Macaca mulatta: one gene and its partners. The protein of the gene in region 1 purifies or fractionates together with the protein of each later gene. This does not show direct contact. Links are inferred from orthologs where the notes say so. Each region holds a gene or a part of one and is shown in the gene's direction. Other genes may lie near its edges. The genes, in order: SQSTM1, VIM, RIPK1, TRIB3, VDAC1, SPRED2 and LRRK2.

The links.
Region 2: the proteins of SQSTM1 (region 1) and VIM purify together in Homo sapiens (affinity purification with western blotting; 3 studies listed by BioGRID and IntAct, with this or other methods). This does not show direct contact. The link is inferred for Macaca mulatta from reciprocal best matches to the Homo sapiens genes SQSTM1 and VIM.
Region 3: the proteins of SQSTM1 (region 1) and RIPK1 purify together in Homo sapiens (affinity purification with western blotting; 3 studies listed by BioGRID and IntAct, with this or other methods). This does not show direct contact. The link is inferred for Macaca mulatta from reciprocal best matches to the Homo sapiens genes SQSTM1 and RIPK1.
Region 4: the proteins of SQSTM1 (region 1) and TRIB3 purify together in Homo sapiens (affinity purification with western blotting; 3 studies listed by BioGRID). This does not show direct contact. The link is inferred for Macaca mulatta from reciprocal best matches to the Homo sapiens genes SQSTM1 and TRIB3.
Region 5: the proteins of SQSTM1 (region 1) and VDAC1 purify together in Homo sapiens (affinity purification with mass spectrometry; 3 studies listed by BioGRID, with this or other methods). This does not show direct contact. The link is inferred for Macaca mulatta from reciprocal best matches to the Homo sapiens genes SQSTM1 and VDAC1.
Region 6: the proteins of SQSTM1 (region 1) and SPRED2 purify together in Homo sapiens (affinity purification with western blotting; 3 studies listed by BioGRID). This does not show direct contact. The link is inferred for Macaca mulatta from reciprocal best matches to the Homo sapiens genes SQSTM1 and SPRED2.
Region 7: the proteins of SQSTM1 (region 1) and LRRK2 purify together in Homo sapiens (affinity purification with western blotting; 3 studies listed by BioGRID and IntAct, with this or other methods). This does not show direct contact. The link is inferred for Macaca mulatta from reciprocal best matches to the Homo sapiens genes SQSTM1 and LRRK2.

The regions. Positions count from the first base shown.
Region 1 is NC_133411.1:188,804,057-188,808,051, forward strand, and holds the start of SQSTM1 (sequestosome-1), read left to right. Parts: upstream 1-1,195; 5' UTR 1,196-1,292; intron 1,293-1,875; coding exon of another isoform or gene 1,876-2,371; exon of another isoform or gene 2,372-2,648; intron 2,649-2,737; exon of another isoform or gene 2,738-2,975; intron 2,976-3,995. Other genes in the region: MGAT4B (alpha-1,3-mannosyl-glycoprotein 4-beta-N-acetylglucosaminyltransferase B), read right to left, coding at 1,876-2,371. UniProt on the Homo sapiens protein: Molecular adapter required for selective macroautophagy (aggrephagy) by acting as a bridge between polyubiquitinated proteins and autophagosomes.
Region 2 is NC_133414.1:18,791,409-18,794,274, forward strand, and holds part of VIM (vimentin), read left to right. Parts: intron 1-1,339; coding exon 1,340-1,435; intron 1,436-1,522; coding exon 1,523-1,684; intron 1,685-2,436; coding exon 2,437-2,562; intron 2,563-2,866. UniProt on the Homo sapiens protein: Vimentins are class-III intermediate filaments found in various non-epithelial cells, especially mesenchymal cells. Vimentin is attached to the nucleus, endoplasmic reticulum, and mitochondria, either laterally or terminally.
Region 3 is NC_133409.1:180,157,785-180,161,284, reverse strand, and holds part of RIPK1 (receptor-interacting serine/threonine-protein kinase 1), read left to right. Parts: intron 1-282; coding exon 283-852; intron 853-3,500. UniProt on the Homo sapiens protein: Serine-threonine kinase which is a key regulator of TNF-mediated apoptosis, necroptosis and inflammatory pathways.
Region 4 is NC_133415.1:83,776,392-83,780,418, reverse strand, and holds the start of TRIB3 (tribbles homolog 3), read left to right. Parts: upstream 1-1,227; 5' UTR 1,228-1,560; intron 1,561-4,027. UniProt on the Homo sapiens protein: Inactive protein kinase which acts as a regulator of the integrated stress response (ISR), a process for adaptation to various stress. Inhibits the transcriptional activity of DDIT3/CHOP and is involved in DDIT3/CHOP-dependent cell death during ER stress.
Region 5 is NC_133411.1:142,905,587-142,909,721, reverse strand, and holds the start of VDAC1 (non-selective voltage-gated ion channel VDAC1), read left to right. Parts: upstream 1-1,335; 5' UTR 1,336-1,398; intron 1,399-4,135. UniProt on the Homo sapiens protein: Non-selective voltage-gated ion channel that mediates the transport of anions and cations through the mitochondrion outer membrane and plasma membrane.
Region 6 is NC_133418.1:59,261,233-59,265,177, forward strand, and holds the start of SPRED2 (sprouty-related, EVH1 domain-containing protein 2), read left to right. Parts: upstream 1-1,145; 5' UTR 1,146-1,521; coding exon 1,522-1,547; intron 1,548-3,945. UniProt on the Homo sapiens protein: Negatively regulates Ras signaling pathways and downstream activation of MAP kinases. Recruits and translocates NF1 to the cell membrane, thereby enabling NF1-dependent hydrolysis of active GTP-bound Ras to inactive GDP-bound Ras.
Region 7 is NC_133416.1:47,244,711-47,247,359, forward strand, and holds part of LRRK2 (leucine-rich repeat serine/threonine-protein kinase 2), read left to right. Parts: intron 1-392; coding exon 393-605; intron 606-2,534; coding exon 2,535-2,602; intron 2,603-2,649. UniProt on the Homo sapiens protein: Serine/threonine-protein kinase which phosphorylates a broad range of proteins involved in multiple processes such as neuronal plasticity, innate immunity, autophagy, and vesicle trafficking.

The DNA.
Region 1 (3,995 bases):
AAAGGAACAGGATCAGAGGGGCATGGGCAGGTATCAGGCCGTTAACAGTCTGCTGTCACCATGCATGTGTGCGGCAGATGTCTGTCTCCTCTCCAGACCCTGCACCCTCCCAGGAGTCAAGGAGGGTGTCTGTCATTGCTGAGGTCCAGGCCTGGGGAGGAGGACAGCCTGGAGGCTGGGAGAGCTGTGTGGCTGAGACCCTGGGCCACCCGCAAGGGTCTGCCTCCCTGGGCAGATCCTCAGCAGGTGCTTGGCTGAAGGCCACAGTTTGAGTGCTGGCAGAGCTGCTCCACAGGCCAGATATGAAACTGGGCCCCAAACCCTTCTCCAGGGTCCATTTTGCATTAGTCTAAAGAGGCCGTCCTGGGCTTGACCTTGGGCTTCCAGGATGACGCCCGCACCTGCTGTCCTTCCTCTCTGGTTCCCTGCCCATCTCCTTCCTTCTCTGCAGATTCCACTTCCTGGGTTCTTCCCTCAAGTTCCTGGACCCCCGCTGGCTGCAAAGTGGAGGCCAGGTTCCAATTTGGCCTCAGACTGGCTAAGCCTGGTTTCGCCAGGGGCTTAAGACAGACTTTCTACATGTGACAATGAGATGGGTTCACATAATAGCCTGGATTCCTAGCTTCACTGAGTCACCACAGAAACAGTGACAGCCCCTCAACAAGGCAGGCCTAGGTCACCCCCTACTCATGCCTCACAGGATCCTTAGGCTTCCCTCCCCTAGGGGCTGGGTCCTTGAATCTAAGCGCTCCCCTTCTTAGCTCTCCTGTTCCCCAGGCCCTCAAAGAGCCAGCCTCCCGGATGCCCCCACGGAGCCAGCGCCTCTCCCTCACTCTGCTGTCCCGGAGACTGGCTCCCTGTGGTAAGCCAGGCTTGCAGAGGTGGCTCCTGACATCAATCTGGCGGCATGTGGCTGCTGTGGGAGACACACACTGGCTGAGGACAAAGGGCAAGGGCTCATGGCTCTACCCACGACTGGAAGAGTGTGCCCCAGCCCTTCAGATAAGGCCCCACCTAGGCCTTCATGCCAGTCTGCTAGTCACCCTGCCAAGGACCCAGAATGTCCTTCCCCAGGTGACACACCCTACCTACAGATAATTCTGCCCCAGTCATGCCTGCCCTTGATAATATACGCCACCACCGGGGCCTCTGCCCCAGCCCTCCCTCCCCTGTCCTGCAGTCTCCCCGCAGAGTCCCTGGGTGATGGGGCTCTGGCCCTGGAGCCCCAAGGCCAGCCCAGGCCTCTGCTCTGACAGAACAAGTGCGGCAGGCGGGCGCGCTGGCAGAGCTCGGTGAGGGTAGCTGAGGCTCGGAAGGTCCGGAAGGGTCCAGGTCCTCCCAGCCTCCTCAGCCTCTCTGGGGTGGCGCTCCGGGACAGGGAAACAGGGAAGCAGGTGGCAGGGAGGCCAAGGGGGCAGGTAGCCTCAGCCCGCTTAGGCCTCCAGCAGGCAGGCAGGCAGGAGGCCACTCTCCCAGAACCTCCAGGCTAGGGGAAGAGCGCCTCGGAGGGCTCAGGCCCTACTCGGCCCCACCATCGCCAAGACCGGTCAGGGGGGCGGGGGGCGGGGGGTCGGTCTGCACCCTCCGCCTGCAAGAGCGCTGGGCGGACGCGGAGGGCGGGGGCCAGCCCGGGAAGCTCGGGGTGCGGGGGAGGGGCTGGGGCCGCACAGGAGCGCAGGGCAGCAGTGGCCGGGCTGGCTCAGGACGCCTCTCCCTCCCTCCCCCGCTCCCATAGGCCGGATGCTGCCGAGGCGTTCCGGGCGCCCGGGGGTCGGCGAGGGAGACCCAGGACCGGGTGTCACGCCGGGGTCGCCCAGGCCGGCGCGGGGCTGCGGGAGGCAGGGTCGGGGGAGGGCGGGTGGGGGGATGCCTGACCGCCTAGCGGTGCCCTCGCGCCTGTGTCCCTCACGCCGGCCCAGGTCCTGCCCAAGTGGCTGTGGCTGGCGTTCCGGGACCTCTGTGACCTTGGGTCTGTGCCGAGACCCCCACGGGTCCCCAGCTCAGCTGCGCCCGCGGAGTCCGGTCCGGGGCACCCACGGGCGCGGCCAGCGCTGGGCGGGCAGGCGCAGCCCGGGCCCGAGGAGGACGCCGCGGCTCCAGCAGCAAACAAGTGGGGGAGGGTGGGAGGGGCGTCCTCCGCGCCGCCCGGGCGGGGAAGGGGCGCCTGCGTCGGCTTCCGGCCGCCTCCCGCGGCCACCGCCGGGCCCGCTCCCGCCGCCGACGCCCAGGTGCGCCAGGTGCGGGCCGGGCCGGTCGGGCGGGGGTCGCGCTTACCTTTCTGGCCGCTGAGTGCCGCGTACCAGGACAGCGAGAGGAAGGCGCACAGGCAGAAGAGCAGCAGCGTCAGGAAGGTGCCATTGCGGAGCCTCATCTCCTCCGATGCGCGGCGGGCGCCCGCGGGGCCGAGGCTGCATGGCCCGGGGAACCGGGGCCGGGGCGCAGGGGTCGGAAGGCGGCGGCTGCAGGGGCCCCGGCCCCGGGGCGGGGAGGGGCGGGGGGGCCGGGGCCGGGCAGGGACCGGGCCGGGGAGCGCGCCTGCCGCTTCTCAGGGCGCAAGCTTTGTGCCCTGTACTCAGGGAAAAGGAACAGGCTCAGAGGAGCAGAGGCAGATATCAGGCTCACTGCAGGTATCAGGGGCGCGGGACACTGGCGGCCTCGCCTCCGCGGCAGGGCCGGGCCAGGCCGGGCTGGGCTGGGCTGGGCGGCGAGAGCCGCGGCCCGGCCTGGATCTGGGGCCTGGATCTGGGGCCGCCGCGGAGTCGACGGCGCAGGGCGGGGCGGCCCGGATTTAAAGGGGCCGCAGCACCGCCGCCGCCAGCGCCGCGAGGGGCGGGGTGGGGGCCGGCGCCCGTGATCCCGACCGGCTCCCGCAGCCCCGCTTGGGCTCGTGCGAGTCGGCCTTAGGTAAGGCCGGAGTGGGAGTGCGGGTCGACCGCAGCCGGCGCGGGCGGCGGGGGCGGCGCTCTCGGGCCCAGGTACTCTTCTCGGCAACATCTCCTCCGCGCGCGGACCCCGACCCCACTCGCACGTTCTCTGGGCTGTTTCCCGAGCGTGAGGGGCTCTGGGTGGCGCGGGGGACTGGGCGCTTGGAGGGGACTGGGCGCTTGGAGCCGGGAGCCACCGTTGCCTTCGGCGCCGCCCAGGGCGCTTTCCCGCTCAGGAGCTTCCTCTGGGGCGCGGGACTGAGACGCACAGGGGCCCGGGAGGCGGGAACAATGGGCCGTTCTAGGGGGAATCAGGGCCAATGCTCGTGGGTGCAGAGGAATGACCAGCCCAGAACCGGACCGGCTTCCCGGGACAGTGGCGGCCCAAGCGCGCCGCTTACGGGAGCAACGGGCCCTGCTCCCGGTGGTGCAGCGGCCACCTCGCCCCGCGCAGCCCAGCCGGCTCTTGATAGGGGCCCACGCCTTCGGATTTTTGTGGGTTTTTTTTTTTGAGACAGAGTCTCGCTCTGTCGCCCAGGCTGGAGTGCAATGGCGCGATCTCGGCTCACTGCGATCTCAGCCTCCGGAGTAGCCGGGATTACAGGCGCCCGGCTAATTTTTTTTCTTTCTTTTTTTTTTTTTTTAAGACTTTGGGCAGCGCCTGGCCCGCTCCCAGCTTGGACCTCCCAGTCCTAGGGGCCCGGTTCCGGGTGGAGGCTGCAGGGACCTCTGCCCCGCCCGCTCGGGGGAGGCCTGAGGGGCTGGACTCAGACTGGGAGTGAATGCAGCTTTGTCTTCCTAGTCCAGCCCCGGCCCACACCTGGGGCTGGGTGGAATCGGGAGCTTCTACGGGTCTGGACAATTCTCCCACAGAGAGATTGATGCCAAGAAGTGGGTGGCCGAGCCAGAGGCCGAGGTGGGCTGGATCCTGAGGCCCAGTGTTAAAGGACAGGGCTCCCCATTCAGTGCTCCTGGAACATTCCGAACTAGAGACTGGGACTTGTAGGCGCCTTCTAGAGGAAACTCGTGTTTTCACAGGTGTCTTCTATGTGTGGCAAAGGATAATGGCTT
Region 2 (2,866 bases), on another chromosome or scaffold:
TTTTTCCACTAAGGTGATAGAAAAGTCTCAACAGTTTAAGACCATAAGGCTATAAACTGAACTCCAAATATAATTGCTGACAAGATAAACAATCCTCACGCATCCTTTTGAGAGGAAATAAAATCTTAGTTGCAAGATTACATGTTCTGAATTGGAATGTTGAGCTTTACAAATGGAAACATAGAAGGACAGCTGAATCAGCAAAAATCCTTCATGTAGTTTCATTCTCTGCAAGTTTGACCAGTCATTCTGAAACAGGCCAACTGAACGGATACAGTGGCAAGCGAAAAAGACACGCCTTTGTAGGATGAGTCAAAGGAGTTTTAGAAGAAAAATCCATCAGAGAAAGCAGAGAAAATACAGTTCAGAGTTACATTTCTTTTCCAATTTTTCCTGAACTGAATCTTTGGCAGCATATCCTGAATTGGGTTATTATTGAATATAAATCTAGCCTTGTACAATGGATGCCACATGATTGCATATTTGCTTTGGAGCCTAAGGATAAGTTTCAAAAGATTTGAGTGGGGAAAAAAAGCTAAAACTCTTGAAGCACAAGTTTCTGTTCTCCATGTACTCAAGTGTACATGAAGTTATGAAAATATGTCCACCTCTATCATCATGTTATTCCATGAAATTACAAAACAAATCTTAACAATGTTGTGGCATAGATTTTCTAGATTTAAAAGGTAATTAAATTAAAGGAATTACTTTCTTTTTTGAGACAGAGTGTCACTCTGTTGCCCAGGCTGGAGTGCAGTGGCGCTATGTCAGCTCACTACAACCTCTGCCTCCTAGGGTTGAAGAAATTATCCTGCCTCAACCTCTCAAGTAGCTGGGACTACAGGTGTGTGCCACCCACCCAGCTAATTTTTGTATTTTCAGTAGAGATGGGGTTTCGCCATGTTGGCTAGGCTGGTCTCAAACTCCTGACCTCAAGTGATCCACCCGCCTCGGCCTCCCAAAGTGCTGGAATTACAAGCAAGAGCCACCATGACCAGCCTTAAAAAGTAATTTTAAAATGTCACTGGTAAAATGTGGATTCAGTCATGATTGAGTGCAGTTTACCATGTGTGTGGACGTTTATTTATTTTAAAATTGTCCGATCACCACCTTGAGTAAAACACAAGGGGTCACAATTAAAATATATTAGTGAGCAGGAGAAAGCACAGCATATTATAGCACTGAATGATTTATAAACCTATTCAAGGGTCATAAAATGTGTCAACACCTTTTCTATAGTAAGGAGACTAGGTTCAGATGGTTAATCTAAGACAAATAAATGAGATAAGCCATAGACTTTTACATCCTCCATGTCCTGTCTTTTCTCTGTTCAAAATAGGATGTTGACAATGCGTCTCTGGCACGTCTTGACCTTGAACGCAAAGTGGAATCTTTGCAAGAAGAGATTGCCTTTTTGAAGAAACTCCATGAAGAGGTTAGTGGAGTGACTTTTGGGGAATGAATGAGGGTAAGGCAGCCCCCACGGCTGGCACAGCTGACCGTCTGTCTGTTCTTTTTGCAGGAAATCCAGGAGCTGCAGGCTCAGATTCAGGAACAGCATGTCCAGATCGATGTGGATGTTTCCAAGCCTGACCTCACGGCTGCCCTGCGTGACGTACGTCAGCAATATGAAAGTGTGGCTGCCAAGAACCTGCAGGAGGCAGAAGAATGGTACAAGTCCAAGGTAGGAAACAAATCAGTGTGGCTTGAACAAAAGAAAAGCATTGTGTTCTCAATACCCCATACCTGTGTGCGATTCCTAAATATCCTCTAGCTCCAATGCAAAGCTGGCTTTGACTTCTTGCTCACATTGTGTTTGTCGCCACGGCCTTCCCACCACTCACATCACCTCCTTTATATATATATATGTATATTTATGAGACAGAGTCTTGCTCTACTGCCCAGGCTGAAGCGCAGTGGCATCATCTTGGCACACGGCAGCCTCCGCCTCCCAAGTTCAAGTGGTTCTCCTGTCTCAGCCTCCTAAGTAGCTGGGACCACAGGCAAGCACCACCATGTCTGGCTAATTTTTGTCTTTTTAGTAGAGATGGGGTTTCACCATGTTGATCAGGCTGCTCTCAAACTTCTGACCTCAGGTGATCCACCCGCCTTAGCCTCCCAAAATGTTGGGATTACAGGTGTGAGCCACCACACCTGGCCACATCACCTCGTTCAGAATAGCAGACTCCCTTTTCCCTAACCTTGCCTCCAAGTAAACCCCAATGCCATACCTTTGACGTCCACTGTGTTGAAATGAGCATAGTAGAGTGAACTTTGAAAATATTAATGTCAGTACTCCACTGCTCTTTCCCTGACTTTCAAAACAGAAATTTAAACCTATACTGGAAGACATTCAGTGAGAAATACGATTTTTTTTCTAAGAGAATCAAAAGACTTGAATGTGAGCAATCTACATTTCTGTTTTCTTCCTAACAGTTTGCTGACCTCTCCGAGGCTGCCAACCGGAACAATGACGCCCTACGCCAGGCAAAGCAGGAGTCCAATGAATACCGGAGACAGGTGCAATCCCTCACCTGTGAAGTGGATGCCCTTAAAGGAACCGTGAGTACCAACCCTGCAGTAAAAGAGGGAAAATAACGACTCATTCTGTTGACTAAGCTCATGGTGATAACCTGAACAAAATGCTAAGTGAGTAAAAATTTATACCTTAATGCAAAGAAAATGAATTATCAAGACAGACTCAAAATGGACTTGATGGAGCTCTTGAAGGTTTTAGCTTGCATATATCATTGCTTCTCATATGAAGGACTTGGTACTTGTATTCTCCACCAAAAATTATAGTGGTCGCCATTTGCCACTAATGGAAATTATTGCAGAAGGTCTGTAAATGTTTCTGGGAACAGCT
Region 3 (3,500 bases), on another chromosome or scaffold:
TTCTCTGCTCCAAACCAAGTCCCTTTTTTCCTTGATCATCCCTGCAACAGCCGCTCTTCTCTTGCTTGCTATAATTTTCCTAGTACTCTCTCACTGCCAGTGAGGAGCTCCTATTATTTGTAAAGCTTGTGGGAAGAGGACCATCTCCTAAATGCTTCGGACTGGTCTCTTACTTATTTTCTGTGCGTCCCTCTGAGATACAGATTCATGATGGCGCTCAGATTTTATTTTACGTTTTAATGTTTCACGAACCCCATTCTAATGTTGATCATTTCTTCTCAGCCACAGAACAGCCTGGTTCACTGCACAGTTCCCAGGGACTTGGGATGGGTCCTGTGGAGGAGTCCTGGTTTGCCCCCTCCCTGGAGCACCAGCAAGAAGAGAATGAGCCCAGTCTGCAGAGTAAACTCCAAGAGGAAGCAAACTACCATCTCTATGGCAGCCGCATGGACAGGCAGATGAAACAGCAGCCCAGACAGAATGTGGCTTACAACAGAGAGGAGGAAAGGAGACGAAGGGTCTCCCATGACCCTTTTGCACAGCAAAGACCTTATGAGAATTTTCAGAATACAGAGGTAAAAGGCACCGCTTATTCTAGTGCAGCCAGTCATGGTAATGCAGTGCCCCAGCCCTCAGGGCTTAGCAGCCAACCTCAAGTGCCATATCGGAACAATGTTTTATATAGCTCACATGGCTTTGGAACAAGACCGCTGGATCCAGGAACAGCAGGTCCCAGAGTTTGGTATGGGCCAATTCCAAGTCCTATGTCTAGTCTGTATAAAATCCCGGTGCCTGAGACCAACTATTTAGGAAACACACCCACGATGCCATTCACCTCCTTGCCACTAACAGGTAAATGGGTCTTTGATAGTCACAACCTTGTCTTTTTTTATTTTTCAGAAAGTAAAGCAACCAACCAGCTCTATTGTAGATTGTGGGTTGTGATGGGGACAGAGGGTATCGTCCACGGCCAGATGCAAGTTGCCGCTGTGGAATGGACTCCGCCAGGCCACTTGGTCTGGGAGTGTTTCATCTGGGGCTAGGATTCATCACACATGTCCACAAGCATCAGGAGGTGCTTGTGACTGGCAGGCGCCTTTGACTCTAATGTGGAGTGCATAGTAGTCCTATTTCACCCAATCTCTGATCAATGGGAAGTTATCTGCTTATTTGCTTTTACCTTGCTTGCTGTTTTTTGAAGATAAGAAATCAGTTTTGGATATTTTTGTTTCTTACCTTATATAGCTCAAAGACTACCATTAGTGATGAAAAACTTTTTTTTAACTCCCATATATCTATCAGGTGAAGTAAAAGGTACGTGATAGTAGTTACTGGCAGTCTAGAATGGAAGTGATTTAATGTAATATCCAGCATTTTTATCAAATAATACTCACCAACATCACCTTAACCACCTGAACGGCATCTACCAGTGATACCCACAAGTGTCCTGGAGATCCTGAAATCAACTCAGGTACAGGAAGCTTTGAGAACCACAGAGCTTAGTTACAATTTCTTTCAAAACGCCAAATTCTCCAAAAACATCCTTTGAAAACATCCTCGATTTTTTCCATAGGTTTTATTATTAAGATCTGTAGAATGCAAAATACTGGATTAGACATTAAGCAGTATCCAAGTCATGTATAATCCTATGAGCAGAATATCCTTTTGTTTCCTTCATGTCTGGGGATAAAATTTTTCATTAGTATTGCCATATCATTTTATTCATTCATGATTAAGTCAATAAAAATTTCAGCTGGGGCCATGGTTGGCCAGGCATGGTGGCTCATGCCTGTAATGCCAGCACTTTGGGAGGCCGAGGTGGGTGGATCATTTGAGGCCAGAAATTTGAGACCAGCCTGGCTAACATGGTGACACCCTGTCTCTACTAAATAATACAGAAATTGGCCAGGCGTGGTGGTGCATGCCTGTAGCCCCAGCTACTAGGGAGGGTGAGGCAGGAAAATCACTTGAACCCTGGAGACAGACGTTACAGTGAGCTGAGATATGCCACTGCACTCCAGCCTGGGAAACAGAGTGAGATTGTGTCTCAGGGAAAAAAAAAAAAATTCTGTAATCCCAGCACTTTGGGAGGCTGAGGCAGGCAGATCACGAGGTGAGGAGATTGAGACTATCCTGGCTAACACAGTGAAACCCCATCTCTACTAAAAATACAAAAAAAAACAAAAAAACAAAAAAAATAGCTGGGCATAGTGGCACGCGCCTGTAATCCCAGCTACTCGGGAGGGTGAGGCAGGAGAATCACTTGAACCTGGGAGGCAGAAGTTGCAGTGAGCCGAGATCGCATCACTGCACTCCAGCCTGGGTGACAGAGCGAGACTCCATCTCAAATAAAGAAAAGAAAAAAGAAAAAAAAAAATCCAAAGCACTTCCCACTTTGTGCCATGCAGTTCTCCAGGCACTGGAGCTATAACTGAGCCAACAGCCTGAGTGAGTCCCTTCCCTCATATAGTTTAAATCCTAGTAGACAGAAGGCAGACCCTAAACCAATATTTAATGTGTAATTTTTTATCTTCTTTCTACATGAGCAACCCAAATACACTAGTTTAGTGCCAAAATCGCTTTCTGTTTTCACTCTTGCTGTGGTTCCTGATTCTGCCAGTGACAGATGTACAGGCATCCAGCTTCTTCAGGATTCTGAGATGCTTTCAGGGGGGAGGGGGCACTTGGATCTATAATAAATAATAGAATTTTCTGTGTTTCTGCTCCCAAAGATGATCCTGCTAAGTACTGAGCTAGTAAATGAACACGCTGAGTTTCTCCTTGCAAATTTAAATAAGTCTTTTGCTTGCTTTTGTTATCAAAATGTCCTAACTCTGTACCAAAATGTGAGTTTTCTAATTTGCCATACCATAGAAGAAGGGTGTGTGTATCCAGTAAGTACAAAAGGAAAATAAAAGTCTTCGTCTCAGTGAAAGAGCTCCTAGACCCACTGTTTCTATTCACTGTGCTGTTTGAAGTGAGGTTAGAAAAGGGAAGCTCACTGGGCTAGGGGTCAGGAGACCCAAGTCGAGTCCTGCGTGTGCCAGTCACTGCAGTGGGTGACTTTGGGAAAGTCGTTTGCCTTTCCAGAGTTCATTCTCCTCAATTATCAATGAAAATGTTACGAGTGAAAATTTATACATTGTAAGCTCTAGTGTGTTTCTAATATTGCATTCGTTGCTCCGTTTCATAACTTTCATGGCTTTTCCAGTGGCCAGATTTGGGCAGAAAGCACTGATTCAAGAAAACAAATCTCCAAGTAGAGAGGTGCAGGGTAGACCTCCATGTAAGCCCATGGTGAACGCAGACTGTGAGTGACAAACACAGTGTCAGTACAAGCTGGAGGTGGTGGGCCAGGAGGATTCAACAGGGTAAGGCAGCTTAGCACTGTGCCTGCCGATGCACAGAATAAGTGCTCAGTAAATGGTAGCTGCTGTTATTAGCACTGTTATTATCACTGTTAACAAGAACACCTAGACAGCCTTGAGTGCTGGAAGGTA
Region 4 (4,027 bases), on another chromosome or scaffold:
TCCACCTGCCTCAGCCTCCCAAAGTGCTGGTATTACAGGCGTGAGCCACCACGTCTGGCCTCTAGAGGAGTTATTTATTTATTTATTTATTTATGACACAGGATCTCACTCTGTCACCCAAGCTGGAGTGCAGTGGCACAATCATGTTTCACTGTAACCTGAACTCCTGGGCTCAAGTGATCCTCCTACCTCAGCTTACCAAGTAGCTGGGACCGCAAGCTCACACCACCATGCCCACTATTTTTTTCTCTTTGTAAAGACAGGGACTTACTACGTCGCCCAGGCTGTTCTTAAACTCCTGGCCTCAAGCAATCCTCCCGTCTTGGCCTCTCAAAGTGCTAGGATTACAGACATGAGCCAGCTCGCCCAGCTGAGGAGTTATATTTTGACACTAGTGAATTCAGATCAAAAGGGATTTCTAAGAAAGGTGCTGGACCCCTGGGACGCAGAGGGATGTTTCACCCCAAAGGAAGTAGCACCAAGCCCTCCCAGGCCTAGGGTGCAAGCATATTAAAGGCCTCTTTCCCTCTCTGTCTCCATTGTCTACACTCCATTGAGCATCCGAAATGTGCCACACACTGTTCTAAGCGTCTTACACATATTACATTATTTAATCCTCACAATAACTTTATGAAGTGAGCACAATTATGAGCCCATTTTATTGAAAAGGAAATTGAGGCAGGGTTTTAGGTAGCTTTTCTGGGGTAGCACTGTGGGTTGGAGGGGAAGGTGGAGTGCACTCTTAGGCCAGCTGGCTCTAGGGGCTCTTCGCCACTAGGCCGCACTGCCTCTAGCAAAGGAACGCGGGGAAGCTCACCAGACCTTAGGCCTCCCCAGGGTGCCACAGTGGTTCTTTTGAGCCCAGAGTCAGCTCTTAGGTCCATAGGCCTTCCTGAAGCTTCTGGACCACTTGCCCACAGCTGGGCCTCAGGCTGGCTCTCAGTAGAAGGGGGAGAATGGAGATTGCCAGATGTCCACTTCTCCTAAAGGTTTTATAAGGCGGTGCTGGTAATGTGCTTTACAAAAGGGGAAGCACCCGGACAACAGTCACTGTTTGCTCTTTTGAGCACCATCCCGAGAAGGAGGAATGTTCTTCCCATTTCATAGGTGGGGAAAGTAAGGCTCAGAAAAGCAAATGTTTTTTTCCAAGGTGATAGGGAGAGTCCGTGGCTGGTGTCTGCACTGAGACCAGACAACCCTAGTGGGCCAACAAGGGCGGGGTCCCCAGGTGCAGCGGAGGAGAGAGGCCCTGGCGGAGCGCGCCCTGGCGGCGACCCGGAGAGGCGGGGCGCGGGGATGGTGCAATCCTGGGCCTGAGGGCATCAGACGGCGGCTGATTAGCTCAGGTTTACATCACCCAGGCTGGGAGCCGGGAGCGCACGAGACTCGCAGCGGAAGTGGGGGCGGCTCCGCACACGTCCGCTGTTAGGACCCGGGCCGGGCTGGAGCTGGACCGGGATCCCGAGCTCGGCAGCAGCGAAGCGGGCCGGCCCACCTGCTGGTACCCTAGAGGCTCTGAGCACCGGCGGCGCCAGGACCCACGCGGGACGGCAGGACAAGGTACTCGGCGGGGTGCGGACTGTGGACTTGCCCGGAGCCTGGGGGATTGGAGCGGGCGGCCGGGGAAGGGGCGCCGGGAGGCTCTGCGCCTCTGCGTGTTGCTGCGTGTTACGCGCGCACACACACAACACCCCTTTTAACAGACTCTGCCGTCGGGGGACACCCTGGGCCTAGTGCTCCCCCCGGGCTTCAGGTGACGCGGCCCCGCAGGGCGTGGGGTCGCCCGAGTTTGGCTGGGGAAGCCAGGGACGGAGGTGTCCGGCTGTCACCCCTAGAGGAGGGTGTGCGAGGGTCTGTTTTGCGTGAGTGTGGGACAGGGGAGTCGTGTGGTGAGGTGAGGGGCTTGTGGGGGGCACTGGAGGACTCTTTATGGGGGTGTCGGAGGATCTGCGGGGGATCTGCGGGGGTCCTCGGGAACCCGTAGGAGAGAGTTCTGGGTGAGGGTGGGTCCCGGGGACCTGTGCCTCCGGGGATGGTGAGAACTGTCTGGAGGGCTGGGCACTTGGTGGCAGGGGTTGGAGGTGCAGGGGACACGGCCGGGAGAGGGCTGGGTGGGGTGCCCTGGGAGCGAACTGAGCGAGTGGTGCGGGAGCCGAACGAGTGGGAGCGAAGTCGCAGCGCGGGATCCCCGGCCGGGCAGCGCCGCTGGTTTTTCCCGCTGCGTGGCTCCGGGTTTGCAGGTGGAAGGTGCGCGTGTGTTTGCGGTGTGTGCTGTGCCTGCAGACCGGGGAGGGCGGGGGACGACAGCCACCTCTTTCCCTCTGCCTCACCCCCTCCTGTCCCAGGGCCGCCCTTCAATTTCCGCTGAAACTTCTGACTGGGACACCGCCGCCTTTCGCTTTCGCTCCCGCTGAAGGGGGCCTGGCTGCGGGGGGCGGGGCGGGGGGTGGTGGGGCCGGCCTTGCTTGTGTAGACCATGGGTGTGATAGCTGGGAGGGCTGTGTGTGTGTGTGTGCGCGCTAACGCTTACCCGTGGAGGGCAAGGGTGTGTCACTTAATGTCTGTCTTCCCTGGATGTGTTGTCGCTGGCTGGCTTAGACAGTGTCTCAGGGGTGTGTGTACACCTGTGAGCGCGCGCACGCTTGATGTAACCCGCCCTCATTTCCCTGGGTCTCGAGTATGGCAGGAAACAGCAAGAGGTAGATATTAGGGGCTGCTTTCATTCCACAGCACAGATTCTATTCTGCAGTGTGGTCTGCAAAATGCCTTGCCCAAGATTTATAGACTCAGTTACCCCATCTGTCCCCATCTGGGTGGAGCTTATCCCAGGCCCCAACAGGCTCTGAGGGATGACTGGGGCCAAGGCAGCCTGGAGTACTGATGTGGCACAGGCCAGAGGGACTTCAGGCAGTCTCCTGCTGCACAGGGCACAAAGCATGTGCACGGCCAGGTAGCATCCTGCGGGACTCAGAACAGCCTTGAGACTGTTCTGTCATCCCAGCCTCGAACCTGGGGAGCTTTCTAAGACTCCCAAGGATGGTACTTAAGCATCTTGCTGTGAAGAACAACAGGATGAGTGCTAATAGTGACCATTTCCTGACACCTACCCTGCAACAGGTCTATAAGCTCTACGTGCTTCATTTGTTTTTTCATTTCATCATCACTAAAAACCTGTAAACTTTGCATCCTGTTCCCACTTTACAGGAACTGAGGCTCAGAAAGCTTGAGGAACTTGACCAGGGGTACCCCCCAGCTAGAAAGGGTCTGAGACAGGATTAGAACCCAGGAATATCTGACTAAGCCACTCCTTACTGCGTTCTTACCAAGCCAAAGTCATGACCTTTCACTCATGTGGGGAGACCTTCCCTTCCAAGGCAGCTCTTCCGTTTAGGAGCCGCGTACTTGGAGAGGTGGGCCTCTGTCTGGTAACTGACTCATGTTTCCCTGTTCATCCTGCCTTGAACTGTTGGGAAGGTCTTTCACCAGGCTGAGGTCCCTCTCGCACCAGTGCTCAGACCTGGGCATGCACATCCTTGGAATGGAGTTTAAGTGGGTGGGCAGATGGGTTCTAGAGAGAACCTTCCTGCCCTGACATGCCCTACTGCCCTCTCCTTCAGCCACCCCACACACAGTCACACAGCTGCGTGGATGGTGGCTTTCTTTTCATTTAACAGTTCACTCTGGAGATCCTTTCGATTAGGCTATAAACAGCGTCCTCAACCTTTTAAATGGCTGCAAATTTTTCCGTTGTGTGGATGAAGTATAATTTATGTAACTAGCCCTGTAATTATAGACAGCAAATTATTTCTGTCACAAGGGCTGCAGGATAACTTTGTATTTGCATGCTTACACAAGCACACTTCTACAGGATACATTCTAGCAATGGGATTAATTGCTGAATCAAAACTCACACACTTCATTTTTTTTGTTTGTTTGTCTTTTTGAGACATTCTCACTTTGTCACCCAGGCTAGAGTGCCTAACCATGGCTCACTGAAGTCTTTACCTTCTGGGGTCAAGTGATTCCC
Region 5 (4,135 bases), about 46 Mb from region 1:
CCACTGAAACAACTTTTCTAACTCAAGTCGCCACGTTCACATTTAATCTGCCGTCTCTTTCCAGCAGCCAGTCCTGATTGCCTCCTCCGCAGCCCCAGTTGCCTACTGCTTTAGCTAGTGTCGCTGCTGGCTGTGAGGAGTGTCCTGATTCTGTAACCCGGCACCTCCTCCACAGGGCCCTAGACGCCTGAAGCATTCGAGGACGTTTGTTGATCAAAGGCGAAGGGTGTGCAGAAGCTTCGTCCATCTACGAATTAATTCTCGAAACCCGCTTCAAGTGGGCCTCGCGCGGAACACAGGGAACACTCAGTGGTGAACGAGACCACTCGCTTAGGCCTAGCAAGGAGAAGGTGACCGTTCACTCAACACATACTAACTGGGTCCCACAGGAGCACAGGCCCCGGCTGGTCGCGTGTTCCCCGCGGTGCCCTCAGCCGGCCGGCCGGCCAGAACCGGCGTGATTTCCTCGCGCCGAGAGACCCAGCAGGAGCCTCGCAAAACCCAATTCACGTTTTATTTTATTATTTTGCCTCTCGAATGCATGGAAATTGGCTGTTAGTAGCTTTGCTACAGGAGAAAATCGCTAATCTGCGGTGCAAAATCGGCACACAGGGGTTTTCTCCGCGATTGTCTAGACGCCATGCGGGCGGGTCGGAGGCGCCAGACACATTGTATCCGGAGCGCGGAGCTCTGGAGCAACAGTCGCCGCTGCTACTCAGTATCTGCGCCGCTCCCAGCGCCCAGTGTCCGCGCTGGGCCTGAGACTGACCTCGGGGGATGGGGCCCACCCGGGCTTTGATGGGGGGCCGGGGGTCACTTCGTCCACCCAGGCAAGGCTCGAGTCCAGCGCCGGCCACATCAACTCCCGGGGGATCTAGCAGCGCGGAGGCCGACCAGGAGGCCCAGAAGCCCCGCGCGTCTTCCATTAGCGCAGGGACCTCGGGGCCACCGCTCAGAGAATCAGAAGGCCTCCTCCCCCTTCCCGAGCGCTGCCACTGGGGCCGAGGTTTCCAGCAAGAACCCGCGTGTCCCTGCGCACGCACACACGGTGCACACGTCAATACCGCGCCTCCCCGTGCCCGGGCTCACGCAGGTCCTCCCGCGCGTCCGCAACGCGCCCGCAGGCTACCGTGTCTGCTGCCGGGGCCGCGGGGCCCGGAAGGGTAAGAACGCGACTCGCGAGCTGGACGAGGACCCCGGCCCGGCCCGGACGCTTTCCCGGGCGGGGCCTGGGGGCGGAGCGCGCCGGACCCGGCGCGCGAGAGGGGAGGCGGGTCCGCGCCGCCGCCGTCCGCGCCGCCCCGCCCTTGGCCCCGCCGCTTGCTCGGCTCCGCTCCCTGCGTCCGCGCCGCAGCCCCCGCCGTAGCCGCCTCCGAGCCCGCCGCCACCGCCTCTGAGGTAGGCGCAGCGGAAAAGGACCCTGGCTCCCTTGCGCCCTGGACGGCGGGGGCCGGGCCCCTGGGGAACTGAGAGGGAGGCGCTGAGGGAGGAGCGGGCGAGGGGCCTCGGGAGTCCGGCCCCGGGGAGGGAGCCCGAGCGGCTGGCGCGGGCCTGGCTGGTTAGCTGGCGGGCAGAGAAGGCCGCGCAGGCGGGCGCCGAACGGGTCCGGGCTGGGGACCGCGAGGCCGGGGGTCCGGAGACGCTTGCGGCTGGCGGCGAGAGGCGTCCCGAGCTTGCGGGCGGAAGGGCAAGGGCGGCCGCGTGGAGGCCCGGCGGGCCGCGCGTCTAGGTGACCTTCCCCGGCGGCGCCCTCTGGCCCTGGATCCCACCAGCGTGGATCCGGCGGGGACCCGTTCGCCGCCCACGCTCGCTGGACCAGGCCAGCAGGCTGGTGCCGGCCACGCTGCCGCCGCGGGGATGAGCTCACGTGACGACCGTGGCCCCGCGTCCCCAGGCCCACGCGTCGTGGCCGGCCCACGCCCGCAGAAGCTGGCGCCCGGCACCGCCCGCCTGTGCCAGAGCCTTCTAGGGCGGAACCCGCCGGCCGAGAGTCGACTTAGGCCGTAGAGGCCGGAGCTCGGGCCTGGGCTGGAGGTTTGGCCTAGGAAAAGGAGGCCCCACGGGGAAGGATGTGGCCTTCTTGGCCTTAGGAGTGATTCCTGGTTCGGTCGTTCATTCATTTGCCAAACGCGGAGGTGCATTTGGGAGCCTGACGTTGGATCAGAGGCCGGCAGTCCTAGTCATTTGTACAAGGTCACACAGCTGGGAAGATCGCAGACCTTCGTTTTCTCATCTGTAGGATGGGAGCAATTATACCTCTCCTTCGTTGAGTTTTGGGGAAGAATAAAATGAATTAATTAACATGAAACCTTTAGAACAGTGCCGGTATGGAGAAGGGCTAAGTAGAAACCCTGACACCCTTGGGGCTTTTTGGGTGAATCCAGCCCATCCCCTGCAGACCATTTTGCTACACGTGGCGTTGTGGAAAGGGTTCAATAAATGTAGCTCCTGTTTTTAAGCATTTTTGCACTATTATTGACAAGCATTTGTATACCAGGTATTGAGTAACTTTCACGTTAATTTATGAAAAGTGTTGTAAGTTTACAGATGGACATTGTCAAGCTCGAGCAGTAAGTTTGCATGTGGAGACCTTGATTGCAGGAGCAGACCCTGTTTTAGAGGCCTGATCGGTCCGGGGTCCCTGTCCCCTTGACTAGCCTCTCCTCTCCTGGGGAGATAAGGGAAAGGGCTCCTCTGTTGCCTAAACTTCTCCACTGAGGCAGGGGAAGACCAGGGCAGACTACCGAGGGCCTGCCTGCATTCTGCCCACCCCAGCTCTGGACCGACTCAGCTCTTAAGGGTCAGACTGAGGCACTGAGGCCCTGTGCTACTTTGTCTTCAGTGCCTGGCGTGATGCTGTTTGGCACACAGTAGGTGCTTGAGAAGGGTCTGTGGGGGTAAATGCACTCTTGTATCAGAATCCACCCACCTTTATTGACAGAGTTTTACTATTTCAGTACATGGTACATAGTGGGTGCTTATTAGGTATTTGTGGAATTTTTGAATGGGCATGTGAAGGGCTGCAGGCCCAGACCATAGTCCTTTGATCCTAAACGTTTTTTCTTTTTCTTTTTTTTGAGACAGGGTCTTGCTCTGTTGCCAGAGTGCAGTGGCACCATATTGGCTCATGGCAGCTTCTATCTCCTGGGCTCAATCAATCCTCCCACCACAGCCTCCCAGAGTATCTGGGATCCCAGGCACACACTACCACGCCTGTCTAATTTTTGTATTTTTAGTAGAGTGGGGTTTCACCATGTTGGCCAGGCTGATCTCAAACTCCTGGCCTCAAGCAATCCACCCACCTCAGCCTCCCAAAGTGCTGGGATTACAGGTGTGAGCCACCATGCCCGGTCCTGGACATCGTTTTGAGGGACACACACATCTCACTTGTGGAAAACAGCCTCACCTAGAAGAGAGTCACAGATATTTAAAGAACTGTAACAGACTGTATAGTCTCTTGAAATAAGTGCTTTAAACACATTGTCTTCATTCTCTGGTTTTCCAAGTCCCGAGGGAAACTTGTTGAACTGGTGTTTCTGGGCTTGCAGGGCGGGTGACGTGGGTGATTGGGATTCTACAGAAGGTGTTGGGTCTGTTACCCCTTCCCTCGTGGTGGGTGGATGGACAGCTTATGCTGGGGTTGTCCAGAGTAGGGTGCCTGCCTCTGGGTAGTGGGGACTACTCATTGTTGATGATTTAGTTTTATTTCTGCTATTCTAGAGTGGGGCTGTAGGCAGGGGTTATTTGTAGCATAGAAAGTGGGAGACCATACAGGGATGAAGTGCCTGTGGGCCCCTGGCCTTGCTGAACACTAGGCGAGTGTGGACAGTGAACATGTTGGGGTGGTGAAGGGCCTCCACCCTCCACCCTTACCAGGAAGATGCTCCTGAAGCACTGAAGTCCACTTCGCCCTGATGGAATTTCCCATGGTGCAGTGTCTTCAGTGGTAGTGACAGAGAGGCGCATGTATGGCTGAGGACCAGCCCAAGCCTGGAGGCAGCACCTCCCAGTGCTCCAAGATTCTGTAGTCTGCGGCTTTGGGTTTTCCATGGACTCCTGTGGTAGCCACTGAGAAAAGGTGACCAGTGGGCTTCTCAGCTGGGTCTGGGCACATTTCTCCATTTTACCGCGTACT
Region 6 (3,945 bases), on another chromosome or scaffold:
GTGCTGGGCTTTGCACGAGTAATGATTCTTAAAAACATCCGTTCCTTGGCCGGGCGCGGTGGCCCATGCCTGTAATCCCAGCACTTTGGGAGGCCGAGGCGGGCGAATCACGAGGTCAAGAAATTGAGACCATCCTGGCCAACACGGTGAAACCCCGTCTCTACTAAAACTACAAAAATTAGCTGGGCGTGGTGGCGCGCGCCTGTAGTCGCAGCTACTTGGGAGGCTGAGGCAGGAGAATCACTTGAACCCAGGAGGTGGAGGTTGCAGTGAGCCTAGATCGCGCCACTGCACTCCAGCCTGGGCTGGGGACAGAGCGAGACTCCATCTCAAAACAAAACAAAAATCCGTTCCTCTATTGAGACAAAAAAGGAAAAAAAATCACAAGATTCACGTGAAACGGAAAAGCCTCTGCCTTTCAGAACCTTGGTAAAGTCGAACCCCCTCTCCTTTCTGGTTGGGTTGGGTTAGAGAAGCCAGCCCCTGGCACCTGCGCCGCCCCTACCTTCCCACCCTGCGGTGGGGGTAGTTGTTCCTCTGAGCCTGAGCACCTCTTCAGCTGTTTCACTCCCTCCCCTCCCTTGAGTTTCGCATCTCCGCCCCCGCCCAACCCCCCGATTTTTAATCTTGGGGTTTGGAAGGAGGGAGGGGGCAAAAACGGGAGCCAGATGTGTAAGAGTCCTCCGCTCCCGCCTCCTCTCTCCTCTCGGGCTTCCTAAAACCCGGAGCCCTAATCAAGGAGGATTCGGAGCCAGACGGTCGCGGCGAAAGCAAACAACTCGGCTCCGCGGCTCCCCCGGGAGTGGAAGCCAGGAGGGAGGGGGAGAGGAAGCCGGGCGTGCTCAGTAGGCGGGACAAAGTTTTTTTTTTTTTTTTCTCCCGTTTTTTTCGGTCGCAAGTAGGAAGCTTTTTGCACTCCACCACCTCTGGCCGCTGGGAAGACGTCATCGCTTCCGCCCTACTTCCTCCTCCTGTTGGCGGCGGTGAGAATCCAATATGGAGTAAATCGGTGGAGTCGAGAGATGGGGCTCGGACGGGGCGCCCTGCACTGCCTCCCAGGCGCACCTCCCCCGGCCGCCGACCGCTCCCCGGAACCGTGATTGGCCCGGCCCCCCGGGGGCGACCCCGGACCGAGTCCCCCCACCCGCGGCCGGCGCTCTCCTCCTCCTCGCAGCAGTCCCCGCCGCTCCAAGGCGCGCTTGTTTTTCTCCTGCTCTCCCCCACCGCCGTCCCCTTCCCAAATCTCGCCCCCTTTGCCCGCTCCCGAGCCCCCGGAGCCTCCGCCCGCCTCTCCCCACGGCGCTGCGGCGTTCACTCCCCTTGCAGCCTGCCTTTGCACCCCTTCCCCCAAACCTCACCCCGCTCCCTGCTTCCCCTTCTGCTGCGGCGCCCCCATCTCTAGCCGCCCCCCCTCCCCAAATCAGGCGATCTCCGGAGATGTGAAGAAGGGGGGCGAGCGGACAGGAAGATGAAGGGAGCAAAGCTGCCCGCCGCGGGACAGGCGTCTAGGTGAACAAGAAAATGACCGAAGAAACACACCCGGACGAGTAAGTTTGGTCGCGGGGTGGGACGAGGGTGCCCCGCGGGGGCAGCGTGGGGGCCGGGGCTGAGGATGCGGGCGGGGACGCTTATTGGGTGAACTTGGCGTGGGGTGCAGCGACTCGCTGACCTGTCGGGGTTGGGACGCGAGGCTTCCCTGCTTGTTGAAGTGAGGAGGGGGCAAAAACTGCTGCGGGCTGGCGGGCGCACGCCTAGGGTCGGCGGGCTGGTGGCCGCCCCGGGGGCCAAGGGCGTGCGGGTGACCTCCGGGCGGTCCCCGCTCCCTCTCCGAGGACTCACAGCACCCCCCCGCCCCCGAAATCCTCGGCGGCTGGAGCGGAAGACCTGACACCCCCACTCCGGCTTCCCGGGGCCGGTGGGTTTTTGCACAGTGACTTTGTGACTCCCGCCGCGCCGCGAGCCCCGCAGTCCGCTCCTGAGCCCACTGGGGCCTAGGCTCCGCCATTTCGTTTTCTTGAATCGCTCTCATTTGCATACCACATTTTCATTCATAAAAAACACGGCGGAGCGAGAGGAGGACGGGCGCGGGCTGCGCTGGGGTCTGGTGCGCCAGGGTCCCCGCGCGGGCCGGCGTGCTGGAGCCGCCCGAGGGGCCCCGCGGTGCGTGAGTGCCTGTGCACGCGCTTGTGGTCGGCACACGCGTCCTGCGGGGTCAGGCGCCTCGGGGCGGACCTAGGCGAGTGCGGCGGGGGCGTGCGGGGCAGCGCTCTGGGGGCGAGTGTGTGTGTGTGTCCTCGCGGGTGCGCGTGCACGGGCTTGTGCCCGGCCCGCAGGCCCGAGGGGAACAATGCTTGGGGCGCTCCGCCGGAGGGATCCCGGGCAGCCCCGCGCGGGACCCGTGACTGTCGCCAGCCCGGGGCGGAGGTGCAGCTGCCTCCTGCCTCGCGGTCCAGGGGTCCAGTTTGGCATTTTCTCTTCCTGGTCCGAGGCGTTTTCTGTTTCGGGTGCGACGGGGGCGGGGCCGCGGGGCCCGACACCTCAGGTCTTCTGCCTGGGGTCCGAGCGGTCATCGCGCGGCGGCCGCCGCTGCTGCTCAGTGGCTGTGCCCGCCACCAGCCACTTTTTTTTTTTTTTTTTTTTTTGTGAATAAGACGCTCTCCTTTATTGTCACATGATATCCCTCCCCTCCTCCCCTGCACATTCATAAATCCGGAGTCTGCATCGGTTCCTTTCATTCAGTGCTGCCATTAGCCAAGGTAGTGGCGGCGCGGGCTTGGGCTCAAAGAGCCGGTTGGCAGCCGCGGGGACGCGCCCTGGAGGGAGGCCCCGCGCGCGTCTTAGCAGTGGAGTGCGGGCTGCGGGAGGCGTGCTCCAGAGGCCCCAGGTCTTTTGCCCCCCGCAGGCATTGGGCCTCAAGAGTGCTGGGAGGGGAAGTGACTCAGGGCTGGGCGACAGGGAGGCTTGTCTCTTGCAGCAGGTGACAGTGTTGTGCTCTACTCTAAGAAATCTACTCACTTTATTAAATATACCCCCTTTATCCTTTGGCGTCTGCTGTTGCCAGTCTGGGCGGGAATGGGGCTGCTGTTTGGGGAAAGGAATTTCAATTTCCTTCCTGTGAGTCCCCAGGGAACTTTGACTGCAGTAACCCCTGATCTTCCAGACACCCGTCACAGGAGAGGATCCCTGCTGGTGTGCCTGTCGCAGATGTCCCACCACATCTGCTGGTGTTTCTATTTCAGACGTTTTGCTTTGTCTTCGTATATAGCATCTTAAAATGGTAAAATGAAAAAAAAGTTGCGCTTTTAGCGCTGAAATATAGAGAAGGATTATGCTTCTGGGCCTTGCTGCCTTGTGAACGTGGCCAATAAATCAGTATTTTTATGGGCCCTCGATTGTACCTGCACACAGAGTAGCAGCAGTGGCAGTGAGGTTGGTTGCTGTGCTCTGGCCTTGCAGATTCTTGGAGAGGTTTGACCGCTCTACCTTGGCTCCACTCCTTGGGAATACAGGCCTGACCTGGCCCTTTTTGTGGCAGCTTGTCAGCCTTGCATCTTTCTCCATCTGCTATCCAAAGCAGAAGGATTTCGAGTGGGATCACCAGCGAGGAAAGAATAGTTCCATTTTAGGCTCTCAGAGCAAGTTCAGCATGAAGCTGCAGCCTCCACTGCTGTCACAAGTCCAGTTGAGAGGATAGATATTTGAGGAGTTGTAGTTTCACTTAGAGGCTGAGAAAGCCTTGGCATCTTAGCCACTGAAGAAATGGGCTATAGGGGTTATTTTTAATGTGATGACCTTGGCACGAGACTTTACATGCCTGAGAAGAAAGCGACTTCGTGGGCTGTAAACTGCCATGGTAGCTACCGTCTATTATTATGTTCAACGTACCTGTGTAATGACGCATCTGAAAAATTCCTTTTAAGTGTTAGTGACAGTAAGGTTTCTCTC
Region 7 (2,649 bases), on another chromosome or scaffold:
CATGTGAATGACTATAATTTTATGTTCCTTTGTAACACTGAGACATCATGTAAAGCTTTTGAGTCTAACTTTTTTTTTCTTTATCCTGGGCACATGCATGCTATTTTTACTGAATTAGATAGCTTTGGTATTTATAAAAATTGTATCCTTCTTATTCATAATTTCCTGAAAATGAAGGGCTATTGTTGTCTTTGATAATTTATGCTTCAAGTAAAGAAATGTGGCTCTTTGGCATTCTGTGTTTAGCAAAATTTGCTTTGTATAATTTTAATGATGCATAATGTGTGGTGTCATGTTTTCATAATTTAAAATGTTATTTATGTTTTCATATATAAATAGCATTTATGTCTTAGCTGGTGGTAAAATTATTAATGTATACTTTATGGTTCTAGGGAGGTAATGGTAAAAGTAAACAAGGAATCAAAACACAAAATGTCTTATTCTGGGAGAGTGAAAGCTCTCTGCCTTCAGAAGAACACTGCTCTTTGGATAGGAACTGGAGGAGGCCATATTTTACTCCTGGATCTTTCAACTCGTCGAGTTATACGTATAATTTACAACTTTTGTGATTCGGTCAGAGTCATGATGACAGCACAGCTAGGCAAGTTTCTTTCCTTTAGATATTTTTCATATTCTCTAAGTCTTATAAAATATGCCTTTATTTTACATTTACTTTTTCTCTGCACTTTCCAGTGTCATTTGGATGGTCTTGGAGGTTCACACAATGAAACATAAGACTGGTGTAAATTGTGAATAGGGTCATTACAGAAATGGTGGGAGTAAATGCTCTCAGTCCCATAAGAGAAGCAGATTACTGCAGCTGAACACTCAGTTTGGGTCTTACTTGCTTTTTTCCTTTTTACCTAAGGCAAAAATGGGAAATACATAGTGTTGAATATATTTCACTTTTTGAGCAAAGAAAATAAAGAAAATGTTTATTTTAATCATAGTCTAGCCTCCCACGCTTGTTAAAGAATCTCATTTAGTTTTTCATTCTATAACAAATCTTTATTCTTGCAGCAATACATGCTGAACCACACAACCTACAAATATTGACAAATCATGTTTTACTGAAACTTTGTCTTTTTTTGCTTCTATTTTTCTATTTAAATATGATGAAATCGTGATAGCACATAAAATATATTTTCTGCATAAATATATTTGTGTCTTCCTTTGATAATAATTTGATTTAGAAAATAACAATAAAAGCACATATACAAAAGTTTACAAAAACAACACTATGGGGTTTAATTCCGGAAAAAACTAGAATTTATGTAACTTTAGCAAATAATTAATGAATGTTTTGAACGTGGTGAAGAAAATAGATTCATTACAAGTATGTGTGAAAGAGGAACATGTGTTTCTCTAGCACCTTCACCTATTTTTCATTTATAGACGTTAGAGTTGCACAGAAGGAGTTAGAATTAGATGCTCTTAATGACTGTGAACTATTAAGATACATGTCCACACAAGCAGAACAGTAGGTATCTCAATGGGTTGTCTCCGTAGTCTTATTCTACCAAAGTTGTTGCATTCTCTAGTTGAATTGTATGTACTTTGGGACCCGGATAGCTTGCTTATAACTGAAGTTATAGTGGAATTTCAATGGGTTACAGTTTGATTTTAAAATAAAGATCAATTTGAACATAGCCTACAAGGTGCTGCGTGAGCTGGCTTCACTGTACCTCTCCTGCCTCCATCATCTACCACATTCCTACCAGATCTTCCTCGTCTAGATGAACATCCAGTTCTTCTTAATTACTGTGCTATATTTTGCCTCAGGGATTTGCACATGCTGTTTATTTCTTTGCTTAAAGTAATTTTGTTATGCTTAGTTAACTCATACGCTTTGAAATGTTAGCTCCTGTGTCAAAACCTCTGAGAAGCAAACACTGATTAGGTCAAAGTTCCCACTTTGGGTTCCCATAACAGCTTTCTTGCATAGTTGTGATCATAGTCATATATATTTTTTTTCATTAATACTAGTCTCTTCACTAGAATATAAACACCAAGCAGGTTGGGTTAGTGTGTTTTGGTTTACCCCTTTATTCCCAGGATCTAGCCTAGGACTTACATAGAAGACTTTTGATGCAAATTTGTTGAATAAATTAGTGAATGATTTGAGAAGAAAATATGATATTTTGACATCAGTATATCCATCCATCTAAGTGTCCATCTAAATACTCATATTTGTACCTTACCATATCCAAAGAACTTTTCACACACATTACCTCATTTAACATTGTAACTTTGGGGAGGGTAATGTATAAATACTAAGCCTATTTTATAGAAAGGTTAAGCTGTTTTCTCTCACATAATTAAGAGTTGCAGCAAGGAGTGGATCACAGATTCTGTTACTTTTTTTTAATGCTGGCCTTTATTCAATATAATTTAAGGGTCACCTAGAAAATAGAACTGTGAATTCAGTTCCAAGGTATTTGTGTCTTAGACTATGAACAACTTTAATTTTTTTCAGACCAGCTTAATATATAGTTTTAACGGAAAACTTCCATATTTTGTTTTTGTAAAGGGAGCCTTAAAAATGTCATGCTGGTATTGGGCTATAACCGGAAAAGTACTGAAGGTACACAACAGCAGAAAGGTAACATTTAAAAGGATACTGTATTCCAAACAGTGCAATGACATGAA